Callithrix jacchus: one gene and its partner. The main gene of each other region encodes a partner of the protein of the gene in region 2 in a complex. Links are inferred from orthologs where the notes say so. Each region holds a gene or a part of one and is shown on either strand. Other genes may lie near its edges.

Region 1 (6,430 bases), on a different chromosome or scaffold from region 2:
CTGGGCTCAGGGTTTACAGTTACCATAGCCCAAGCACATACCAGTGCCGTGGGTTTAAGTAAGCTACCCTCTTTTGTTCTGGCTGAAAGCTAGAAAAAAAACTCTTCAAATCCCTGCAAGGGAGGTGGGCACAGCTCCCCAGCATCAGAAAACATGCCAGTCACCTGTTCCCACCCACCTAGAGCAGCCCCTCGGGCTCCTGCAGGCCACTGTACAGCGCATAGCCAAGGTCGTCAATCTCTTCCTCCCGCAAGCTGCTCAAGAGGTTCACGCTGGGGTTGAAGTGGCAGGGCAGACTGGCCTGCTCCAGGCTGCCGATGAGCAGCTCCAGAGCCTGCAGGAAGCGCTCGCCCAAGGCCGCCTCCGTCCAGTCCACGTTGTCCTCTGCCAGACGCAGGACCACCTGGGTCAGGTGGCCCCGGCCCAGCTGCCCCAGGGCCGGGCAGCCACGGCAGACAGCACACAGAAGCAGCAGCAGCCGCCGGCGGATCCCAGCATCACGGTCATCCAGGGCTCGCAGCCTGGCAGCCTCCACTGGATACAGGTCCTGGAGCCAGAGGTTCCCCGCCAGCCCCTCCAGGGGCCAGGCCAGGAGGAGGTGGTCATCAGCCTTGGTCCCAGGGACTGCCACAAGCACGGCCACAGTGAGCTCCAGGCGCTCGTGCTGCACCTCTAGCAGCAGCTCCTCCGAGGCCACGTTGGGTAGGATCAGGCACCCAAGCAGGCTGCCGATGGCCGGCCAGTTGACGGAGGCAGCCAGCGCCTTGTGCAGCAGCTCCAGCAGGATGCGGGAGGAGAGGTAGCCCCCCACCAGGAAGCGGTCCCAGGGGCTGCTCCCTCTGGGGCAGAACTCCAGCTGAGTCCTGCGCACGGCCCAGCAGCGAGGGTCCCTCGCCACAGTGTCCACGCCCGGCACCAGGCTCCACAGGCCTGGCTCCAGTACCAGTGGCACCAGGAGACGCACATGGTCAGCAGCCCCTGCCTGCAGCCCATCGTAGAGTGGCCCCCCAGGCACAAGTGCCCCAAAGGGCAGTTCTGGAAACTTGCTCCGAAAGTAGGCCTGCAGCTCCAGGGCAATGTTGCCAGCCAGCTGTTTGGCCAAAGCCACCTGGGCTGCTGGGATGGTCACACGGTCCCGCTCGAAGGCCAGCAGCCTCTCCTGCAGTGTCAGACACAGCGGTGTTGGGGAGCTGAGCTGTAGTGTCACCTGAAGATCAGTTTCTGCAGGCTCCTCTGCAGAGTGAAGGGGCGAGGAACATGCTGGAACAGCCTGTGATTAATTAAGAAAACACTACCCAACGACTAGCTGTGTGATATCCCCGGGCCTCACTGTCCTCACCTGGGAAGGCACTCAGTCCAGGTCCTCGCTATAGTGAGTGCTTGGTGACGAGTTCTCATTGCCCCAGAGTCCAACACCCTGGCCCTATGGCTAAAATAGCTTCATGCAGAGGAAGTAGACAGGTCATGCCCCTCTGGGCCTCAGTTTCCCCATCTAAAGCTCTCCACCATCACAACGCTGCCACCTTGCTACAGGAGCAGGGCAAAGAAAAACCACCCCCATTAAATGTCTGAGGAGCTCACAACCCAGAGAGAAGCAGGGACTTGCACAGGGTCAGTCAGGGGAGAGCCTGGGCTTCATCTCTCAAATGTGACAACAAAAGGGTATCCACCAACGTGAGAGGGGAAGGAGTGCCACTCACCTGGGGCAGAAGGCGAGGGGATCAAGGGCAACATGGGCTGGCTGAGGGCAGCCGGTGGAGGCCGGGGCTGCAGGTGTGGCGTGGCCTTGAGCAGGCTCAGTTCCTTCCAGCTGTCTCCCTTGGTGTCATCCTCGTCCCGTGGGCTAGTGGCCCTGTCAATGAACTGCAGGCAGAGTCATACAGAGTAGATGAAGTCTGGGCAGCTACAGCAAAGCCCAGGGGAAAAGCAGACCAGGGTGCTGGGGTGGAGAAGCAGGTGACCTGGTCTCCCATGAAGGCCTTGGGCAGTCCCCACCCCTCCCCAGGGCCCCTCTGCAAGGCCCAACCCTGTCCTCCTCTAGGAGCTTCAGGCATGACCTGACCAGCCTGGCCTTACCCGCTTCACGGCCAGGGTGGCAATGCCCAGCACAGCAGCCCCGCCCACGCCCAGCACCAGACGGGCATTGGCCAGGAGGAAGTCCACCACGCTGCCCAGCCCCTCATCGCCACGCCGCTTCCCCCGTTTCTGGGAGAACTCTGCCATGGTCTGCCTGTAAGAGAGCCAGGGGTGAAGGGACAGCTCAGGGTGCAGGTGGCCAGGCTGGTAGAGGGGCTGCTGTGGATAGGTGCTCTGGCTGTCCTTATGCTGGGTAACAGAGCGGAGCCCATAAGGGGGGCTTTCTGAGAATTTCTCATGAGAAAGGGACCCATCCACAGGGGAGGACACCAAGGTCCTGGGAACCATGTAAATTACCTGAGAAAGGGCAGGGCTGGGATAGGAATATGGATTTTGGGGCCCCAAGTCCCCATCTCTCATGAGATGAGGGAGCTGCCAAGCCCTTTCTCTCAAAGCTGCAAACAACCCACCCCCTGGAAAGAAGCTCACAAAGGCCCTGAGGCTTGTGCCAATGAAGGGGCCTATCCTCTAGGACCGCTGACATCACCAGAAACCCGCAAGGTGGGTCTTATCACCACCACCTGTATTTTAAAGAGCTCCAGGCTGCCAGATTGCACAGTGAGTGATAAGGTCTCCAGCCCACAACTACAAGGCCTTCAGACTCTCATCCGCCCCCAGAGTCTGACGGATCCTCTGTGCCAGGTGGCCAGGTCCTTAGCAGCAGCCTCATCTTAAGGTTCCTAACCAGAGGACACAGCAGCTCTCTATGATAACCTCTTGAGAAGACCCCAAAGTCCAGAGAAGACCAACAATATTTGGGGCCCCCACCAGTCTGGGGGACCTCTGGGACCAGTTACCCCCCAAATCTTGACAGGGTAGCCCCAAGAGGCAGAACTACCAAGTCAGAGCACAGGCAGAGTGAGATGGCCCAAGCTGCCCAGGCAGGCCAATGAAGACATGCAAGTCAAGGGCCGAGGCCCCTCCGGCAGGGCAACAAGCAAGGTGACCTAAAAGATCAAGACCCAGAAAAAGGGCTGCCCAGGACCTCTGTACAGTGGGCTCTTTGGGCCTCTCAGTCTTGGTGGCGGTGGGTGATGCTTCTCAGCTGCTAGGAGGCCAAGCAACAGAGAAGGTAAGGTGAGGGCCTGGGTCCCAGCCTGTTTGCTCACCTGTAAGATGGCATGGGCAGCAGTGTGTGGTTGGGTGGGGCCCTGCACTTGGGAGGTGGAGGCAAAGATCTCCTGCGGCCCAGTCCACCAACCCCCAGCCTCACGTTCTGCGAGCCGGACACTGCCCTCAGTTCCTGGGAGCTGAGCGGCGCTGTGACCTTAGGACATCAGACGACATGCAGAACTCTCCCAGAGAGGCCTGAGCAGATGACCATGAGGTCACAGCCTGCCCGGGCACCAAGGACTTCTACCTGCCCTGCCAGAGTGTGGGTGCCAGGGGCTCAGTTGCCAGGTGACCAGATGCCTGCAGTAGCTGAAGCCTGAAGTGCTGTGTGACTCAGCCCCGGACACCCGCCCATTCGCCCCAGACTAAAAATAAGACGTTCTCTGGGGCGATCCCAGGCCAAACGGGTGACCCGCTACGGCCCCAGGGCCGGTTTCAGCCTCCTCATTCGTGACACGGGGATCAATACTGCCACCCGACCCCAGAGAGACCAGGAATCTACTTTGCAAACTGTAAAGCGCTTTAAATATTCCCAACCTGTCTAAATTGGGACTCAGACCCACCGCTTGCGGGGTCGCACAGGCCTCAGCCCACAGCCTTCCAGGTCCTAGAAGCGGGAGAGGGCACCGGTGGCTGAAAATAACCCGAGTTTGCGCACCGGTGCCCTGGAGGCCCTCTGGCCTTCCTCCTCCTCCGTCAAATCTGCCTGCCCTGGGCCTGGGCTGAGCGGGCCGCGCAGCAGCCCTAGGTGAGCGGGTGACGCCCTGTTCGCAGGGAAACCGAGAGACCAAGAGGGGAAGGGGGCCGGGCTGGGATTCGAACGCGGGCCTTGGTTCCCAAACCCTCCCGGCCTTACCCAGCGGCGACGGCGGGCCACGCCCCCGATTTGCGTTCCGTAGCGCACCAAGCCCCGGGCCCGTTGACTCTGGGGGCCGCCCCGCCGCCTTCCAGCCGTACCTGCGTCGCAGCGTCCGCACAATGACCGGAGGAGGCAGCAGGACCACGGCCCCTAAGCTCGGACCTTTCTGGGAATGGAACGAGAAGGAACCTGGAACCCAACGTTGAGGGACCCGGGGGCGGCCGCGGAAGCCGCAGGACGCAGACAAGCAGACCCTGCCTCCAATCGGAGCGCGAAATCCAGCACACGTGTTCCAAAATACTGCGCGGCTCAGCCAATGAAGGGTATGCCCCGCCCCCCAGCCAACTGACACGCTCCCTCGGGGCGGGACTCTCTGACGCAGTCTGGATTTAAAGGTGCAGGGCTGCATTCGGAGCCCGCGACCGGGTATTGTGACAGGCAGCCTTCTTAGACGCCTGTGCGTTGTAATGTGAGCGCCGAGTGTGAAGGAAGCTGTCTGGGCCCCCTTTACTTCCGGGGGCCGAGGCACATCTAACCTCTTAGATCACCTCTGCGAGTGTGTCTTGGTGGCTTCATTCTTAACCTGTGGGCCTGCGGGGCACACAGTGTGGTGAAAGCGCCTACCCCTGCCACCTGTTCCGTGCGACCTTGTGTGGGCCGTTCTCCACATGGGCCTCAGTTTTTCTCCTGTAAAATGGGGACACCAGACCCCCTCCTCCCCTGCGAATGGTGGCTAGTCATATAACAGCTGTGGCTCATGTTTTAGGGGCCTGCTATGTGTCAGCCAGGGTAAGCCCCTGCGAACAGCAGGGACCAAGACGGATGCTTCTCTTCTAGACCCTCCCTTTGGGGGACACGAGCGTAAGGGTGCTGACACAAAGTGGGAATAATAACCTGGCACACAGAATAAAACAAAACAAAACGGAGTAATAACCTGTCACTCACTGAGCGCCTGCTGTATGCTGCGAGCTACACTTGCATTCTTTGTTCATTTGCTTATGGCGACAAACTTAGGAAGCATTTTACAAATGAGGAAACTGGGCCGGGCACAGTGGCTCACACCTGTCATCCCAGCAGTCTGAGAGACTGAGACGGGAGGATCACTTGAGGCCAGGCGTTCAAGACCAGCCTGGGCAACATAGTAAGACCCCCATGTCTACCAAAAATAAAAATAAATTTAGCCAGGTGTGGTGGTGTTCTCCCAGCTAGTTGAGAGGCTGAGCCCAGGGGTTCCAGGCTGTAATGAGCTATGATCACGCCACTGCACTCCAGCCTGGGCGGCAGGGCAAGACCCTGTGTCAACAAAATAAAAACAACGCATGAGGAAACTACATCCAGAGCAGGAGAACTAGGACCCGAGGACCCAGGTGTCTCACTACCACCGGTCAGCCAAGTGCAAGCACTTGAGGTCAGGGCCAGCTTCGTCTGCTACAGCAGCACAGGGGACCATGCCTGGACCAGCGGCCTTGAAGGCCCCTGCCCTGGGACTCTGGGAATTTAAGCCTGGAGATTGCGGAAGCCTCCAGCTCCAGCACAGGGGGCGCCGGGGCAACTTGATGGGTCTGCAGCCCCCGAAAAGACGGAGAAACTGAGGCCCTAAGAGGCCTAAAGCCTACACTTCCCGGCGGAATGTGGCGGGCGCGGGCGGGTTAAAGGGGCGGGGCCGGCGTTGGCCCAGCCCGCGGCTCCCCTCACCCCTCGCCCGGGCGTCCCCCTAGCCCGGCCCGGCCAGGCAGCGAGTGCGGCGCCATGGAGGCCACCGGGGTGCTGCCGTTCGTGCGCGGTGTGGACCTCAGCGGCAACGACTTCAAGGTAAGCCGGGACGGGCGCGGGACGGGCCTCCCTGCAAGCCTTCTCTTCCGCCCAGCCAGCCTGGCTCTCGCTTCCTGTCCCGCCCGGCTCCGGGTCCTGCGCGTACCCGGGACTGCGGCCGGGGCGGGGTGGGTCTCTTCCCTGGTCACGAATGGACCTCCGAGGACTCTTCCCGGTGCCTGTACCGGGAGACCGAGGCTCGATAGGCCCAGGACGGACGCTTGGGCTCGGAGTCTCGCCGGGGACCTGGCCGGTAGCCCCAACCCCACGTTCGTGTTCCCCGCCTGGGCTGGACGGTGGCCTAGGGGTCGGCGAGGCTCCCCGCCCTTCTGGGGTCACACGCTCAAGCCAGGCCCTGGCTCAGGGATGGCAGCCCGGCTGCCCAGGGGCGGGTGTGGAACCGACTCATCACTGCCCTCTCTTCGTCACCGCCACCCGCCATCCTGTGTGATCCTGATCAGATCACTTCCCCTCTCAGAGCCCGGGCTTTCTCAGCCGGTGAAGGGGCTT
Region 2 (5,684 bases):
TCTGAGTTAAAGTCATCTTAACAAAAAGAAAAGTGGCCTAGCAATCTGGGTAACCAAATCTACAGAAAAATGTCATACTTACAGCTCCGAAGTTTCAATATATTTTGCAGTTCCTTCAATAGTGTTACAATATTCTGTGGCAAATTTGGTAATAAGCTGGAGTAAAGTAGCACTTTTATCATCCACAGGTTCACCGTAGCTATTTAGAAGAGACTGATACTGAGCAGCTAGAACATTTATTCTTGTTTTCAACTCTGGTAAGCAATCTCTGATGTGATGCATCAGTAACCTAAAAAAGGTCAGAAAGGAAGGATTTAAAAGTAAAACTGTATATTCTGAAGCTCCAAATAAGTCAAATTTTTAAAAAGGAAGTAATGGGGAAAAACTGTCACATAATTTGTACTGGCAAGTATGATACTGTGAAATATGTATTTGGTCTTTGTCTCCATTTCCTGGCAGTTGGATCCTAAAATCTTTGGAGTCTCCAAGAGCCTAAGCATGTTTAAAGTGTCTTTGCATGATAATAAGATGACTGTTGGCTGGGGGTCCCTTGACAGCTTCAGGATGAGGGCCTAGTCACCAGAAAGGCTAAGGCATGATTAGAGGGCTGGGGCTTTTGGCCCCATTCTCCAGCCTCAGAAGAGGGGAGAGAGGCCACAGATTGAGCCGATCACCAATGGACAATGATGCTTCCATAAAAACTCAAAACGACACAGTTCATGCAGTCTTCAGAGAGTTGAACACATGAAGATTCCTGGAATGTGGAGGGCACAGAAACCTCCACATTTCTTCCTACATGCCCAACCCTGTGCATCTCTTCATCTGGCTGTTTATCTATATCTTTTGTAATATGCTTTATAATAAGTGGGTAAACGTTAAGTAGTTGTTTCCTTGACTTATGTAAGCTACTCAACAAATTAATCAAACATGAAAAGGGGGTCATGGGTACCCTGACTTACAGCCCATCAGTCAAAAACAGGCTAAAACCTGGCTTAAAACTGCCATCTAACTTCGGGGCAGTCTTGTGGGACTGACCCCTCAACCTGTGGGAGCTGATGCTATCTCCAGGTAAATAAGTGTTAGCACTGAATTAAAGGACATCCCATTAGAATCCCCTAGAGAATTCCTTGCTTGCTGTATGGGGAAAACTCCCCATGTATCTGATGTTAGAAGCATTCTGTGCCATACTGATTAAGTGTATATGAATGGGAAAAAAGCACTTTGGTTTATCCTAAATCATAAAAGCAAGGAAAAAAATGCAAATTATTTTCATATTACTGCAATTACCATAGAGAAAGTAAATCACTCAATCAATTCTTCCTATATAATTTTGGTTTCACTGACTTGTCATTTACAATTGGTACCCAGCAAAGTGAAAATTAATCTTATTAAGATCCAGGTCTATCAGTCTTCAGGGAAGATAAAAGTAAGAGAAAATGGCTTCTACTTCAGTCATTTATAAATCATCTAGAAAGGTCTTCTAGTCCCCCCACCATGAGTGGGTATTCAGAATCCAATGTATACAACTTAATTTATTTCTACAATAAGTAGGAAAAAAAGATACTCTATTTCTTTCTTTGTTTTTCCATCTCCCTTTTCTGGTAAATAGAAGATATTCTAAATTAAGAACAGATAACATGAAAATTATAAATTTTAATGCAGTTCCTGCAATGCAAAGTGGAAGTGAAGTCATCTCCAGTTCTGTCCTCAAAACTCAACTGACTCTCAAATTTTCATAATTAAATCATTTCAAAATCACTTGAACATTCATTCTAAACTACATGATGACATAATGTCAACCACCCCAATAAAAATAGAGACATCTATTCTTCAGGAACCTACTATATAAGAAACCATAAGGGAAGCTGTTAGACAACAGTATCAAAATGTAAGGAACTGAAAAGGAACCCTCTCAGACATCGACTGGTCAAACAAACAAATCTCATTTCCAAAAGGTAAAAAAAATTACCTGTTTAGAGTCCTAGCAAGATATTTTGTTCCATTTCTATTGGCCAGAGATGGATATTTCTTTTGAAGAAAAGCATACTCATCACGGATTGAATCAGTTACACTCTTCTTGTTGTTAATATCTAGCTGGCTCCTGAGGTTGAAACAGTAACAAAATGGTTCAACTTCACAGTTGTCCTCTTCCTACCTTAGATGATGACAGGGCCAGGCATTGTTCTTTAATACCTGACATGGACTGGTTTATTTAATTCTCATAATTTTATGTGACAGGTATTATTATCCCATTGTTTAGTAAGGAACTGAGGCTCACAGAGACTAACTTATCCAAGGTCATACGCTAACTGGCATAGTCAAAACTTGAACTATTTGAATTATAACTAGTGACTAAATAGTGTAGGCCTCATTATTACCATTAACTATAGACAAAAACAATAAGTAACACGTACAGACAGGTATAAAAATGTAAAGAATATCTCAGTGACCTGTATATTTTATCCATGGACAGGGAACTAATTTCTACCAAAAATTAAGTTAATTTGAAGAACAGTCATCAACAAACAAGGAACAGTGTTAACACCACTTGCTTACCTGAAAAAGGAGACAGTGGGAAATGTGAGTGGGGATGAAGGAATCAGAGTAGGGGTGGGATGCACAATAAAACAGAAGCGGACACTGGAATGGATCTTATATATCAGGTAGTAAAAACATTTCCATTTTCTTTTTTTTTTTTTAAGACAGGTCTCACTCTGTCACCCAGGCTGGAGTGCAGTTGGAACAATCAGCTCACTGCAACCTCTGCCTCCTGGGTTCAAGTGATTCTCTTGCCTCAGCTTCCCAAGTAGCTGGGACTACAGGCACATGCCACCATGCCCAGCTAATTTTTTGTTTTTAGTAGAGATGGGGTTTCACCATGTTGGCCAGGCTGGTCTTGAACTCCTGACCTCAGGTGTGATCCACCCGCCTTGGCCTCCCAAAGTGCTGAGATTACAGGCGTGAACCACCGCGCCCAGCCAACATAATCATTTTATAAAGACTTAAGACCCAAAGACATTAGGTGTCATTTAAACCTACATTGTATCTAGTTTATGGAAGACTAGAACTCAGATTTCACGATAATTTCTGTGTTTCCTACCATATGAAGGCTTTGGACTAAAAGAGATATTCATCCAGATCCAGCTCTTTAACTACCCATGTGACTTTGGGTTAAATGTGTAACCTGAGGTTTCTGATTATAAAATAGACATCAACACCTACCCACCTACCTCAGGGGATGCTGTGAGGATTCCAAGAGATACCATTTGCAAACTGCTCACAGTAGAGTGTCTAAAACGTAATTAGACACTCAATAATAGTTTCCTTTTCACAATTTTTAATACCAGCTATTTATAATTAGGATACCTTTAGTAAAATTTCTCCAAGTTACATCCTGGCAATTACAAAGAATCACTAATGCTAGGGATTAAACCAATCTATTAAAATCCTGCCACCTTAAATTCTTTCTCGAATGGGTGCACATTAGGTAATTTTTCCCTTACCCAGTGCGTCCTCATACACAGCTTAACATGATAGGCAAGAACTCTTAAAGCCTGGCCATTACGACACTTCTTCCATTTTATGGTACTGCTTACTTTAGAAACATTTTCTATTGAAAATGTCTACTGGGCCAGGGATAGTGCCTAATCCCTGTAATCCCAACAGCTGGGAAACCAAGTGGGGAGGACTGCTTGAGCCCAGGAAGTCAAGACAAACCTGGGCAACATAGCAAGACCTTGTCACTACAAAAAAATTTAAAAATTAGCCAGGTATGGTGGTAAATACCTGTAGTCCCAGCTACCTGAAAGGCTGAAATGGGAGGATCGCTTGAGCCCAGGAGGTCGAGGCTACAACAATGAGCCACAATCACACCATTGCATTCCAGCCTAGGCAACAGAGAGAAACCCCGTTTCCAAAAAAAAAAAAATTTCTATGAGAGGCTTTAGTGAATGAATCTCTTTTCTCCCTTTAGGGCAATGGATTCTTTTAGCAATACCAAATCATAGTAAAAGGGAGAAAAAAATATAGGACAGCATCACATTTCAAACAGATTTTAGAAATTCAGACTTGCTCTGAAGTGAGACTACTACTAATTCTTATTCCATTTTTAACTGCTAACCTGTTAACTACTCCAATTATTCCAAGCTTGACTGGAATAACCCTTCCCATCAATACATCCATGGCATCGGTACCCGCATCCATGAGATCAAGTTTAGTGATTACAGCTAGGGTTCTGCGACCTGGTAAATGGAAAAAGAGAAGAGGGCAAAGAAAAGAAAGAAAATGATCCATCAAATAAAACTATTAATAAGGAAAACCCTCATCTATAATCCCACTTAATATGAACTCTGTCGTCATTTTGATAATGCCTTTCTTACCAGTGCTTTTTTAAAAATAATTTTAAACATTGTGTACAATTTTAAAAATATTTCCGCCAGGCACAGTAGCTCATGCCTGTAATCCCAGCACTTTGGGAGGCCAAGGCAGGTGGATCATCTGAGGTCAGGAGTTCGAGACCAGCCTGATAACATGGTGAAACTCTGTCTCTACTAAAAATACAAAAATTAGCCAGGCATAGTGGCCGGCACCTGTAATCCCAGCTACTTGGGAGGCTGAGGCAGGAGAATCGCCTGAACCCCAGAGGCTGAGGTTGCACTGCACCAAGATTGTGCCGCTGCACTCCAGCCTGGGAGACAGAGACTTCATCTCAAAAAATACATATATACATATACATAAACATATTTCTTTCGCATATAATTTTTGTTGGCTCTTATGGCTATATTATAAGCATTTTAAAATTTTGTTTAAAATTTACATCCAGGTGATGTGGCTCATGCCTGTAATCCCAACACTTTGGAAGGCCAAGGCGGGCAGATTGCTTGAGCCCAAGTGTTCGAGACCAGCCTGGGCAAAGTGGTTAAACCCTGTCTCTACAAAAAATACAAAACTTAGCAGGGTGTGGTAGTCCTAGCTAAAGGTGAGGCTGAGGTGGGAGAATCACCTGAGCCCAGGAGGTCAAGGCTGCAGTAAGCCGTGATTGCGCCACTGCACTCCAGCCTGGGCAATGGAATGAGACCCTGTCTCAAAAAACAAAAACTAAAAACATTTACTCTTTTTTTTGGTGTACAATTCTAAGAGTTTTGACAAATGCCAAGAGATGTGTTACAACCAACTCAAGACACTGCTGCTCTACCACCAAATTTTCTTATGCTAGCCAATCAAACCTATTTTCCATTCCTAGTTTTGCCTTTTCTAGAATGTTATATAAACAAAATCAGACAGTACATAATCTTTTGAGTCTGGCTTCTTTCATTTAGCATAACGCATTTGAGATTCATTCATGGTCTTGCATATTAACAGTCCATTTCTTTTTATTGCAGAGTAGTGTCCCATTATATGGATGTACTACTATACCTTAGTTTCACTCCCCTTCTGAGAAATATGAGTTGTTTCTAGTTTTTAGAAATTATGAATAAAGCTGCTGTAGACATTTGCGTATAGTTTTTTATATGAACACTGGTTCTCATTTAACATGGTTAAACACCTAGCAGTGGGACTGCTGATTTAACTTTATACGGAACTGCCAGACTGTTTCCCAAAGTGACTATACCACTCCCACCAGCAATATATGAGAGTTCCACCTGTTCTGCATAGGGTACAACAACTTTATCTGCATAGTGTAC

What was found. Proteins that work in one complex are often made in the same cells at the same time.
Region 1: the proteins of DNM1L (region 2) and MIEF2 are in contact, whole or in part, in a cryo-EM structure (PDB 5WP9), measured with the Homo sapiens proteins. The link is inferred for Callithrix jacchus from reciprocal best matches to the Homo sapiens genes DNM1L and MIEF2. Residues at the interface, in NP_036192.2 of Homo sapiens: Asp190, Met191, Ala192, Thr193, Ser194, Leu197, Lys198, Ile199, Arg201, Glu202, Gly223, Thr224, Asp225, Asp228, Arg233, Val234; in NP_631901.2 of Homo sapiens: Val213, Asp214, Thr215, Val216, Arg218, Arg226, Leu230, Arg235, Val245, Gly246, Tyr248.

The regions. Positions count from the first base shown.
Region 1 is NC_133506.1:82,690,408-82,696,837, reverse strand, and holds the start of MIEF2 (mitochondrial dynamics protein MID49), read right to left. Parts: upstream 3,435-6,430; 5' UTR 3,260-3,434; coding exon 3,246-3,259; intron 2,231-3,245; coding exon 2,077-2,230; intron 1,864-2,076; coding exon 1,701-1,863; intron 1,234-1,700; coding exon 179-1,233; 3' UTR 1-178. Other genes in the region: FLII (protein flightless-1 homolog), read left to right, coding at 5,858-5,920. UniProt on the Homo sapiens protein: Mitochondrial outer membrane protein involved in the regulation of mitochondrial organization.
Region 2 is NC_133510.1:38,771,118-38,776,801, forward strand, and holds part of DNM1L (dynamin-1-like protein), read right to left. Parts: intron 4,242-5,684; coding exon 4,121-4,241; intron 2,102-4,120; coding exon 1,970-2,101; intron 290-1,969; coding exon 83-289; intron 1-82. UniProt on the Homo sapiens protein: Functions in mitochondrial and peroxisomal division.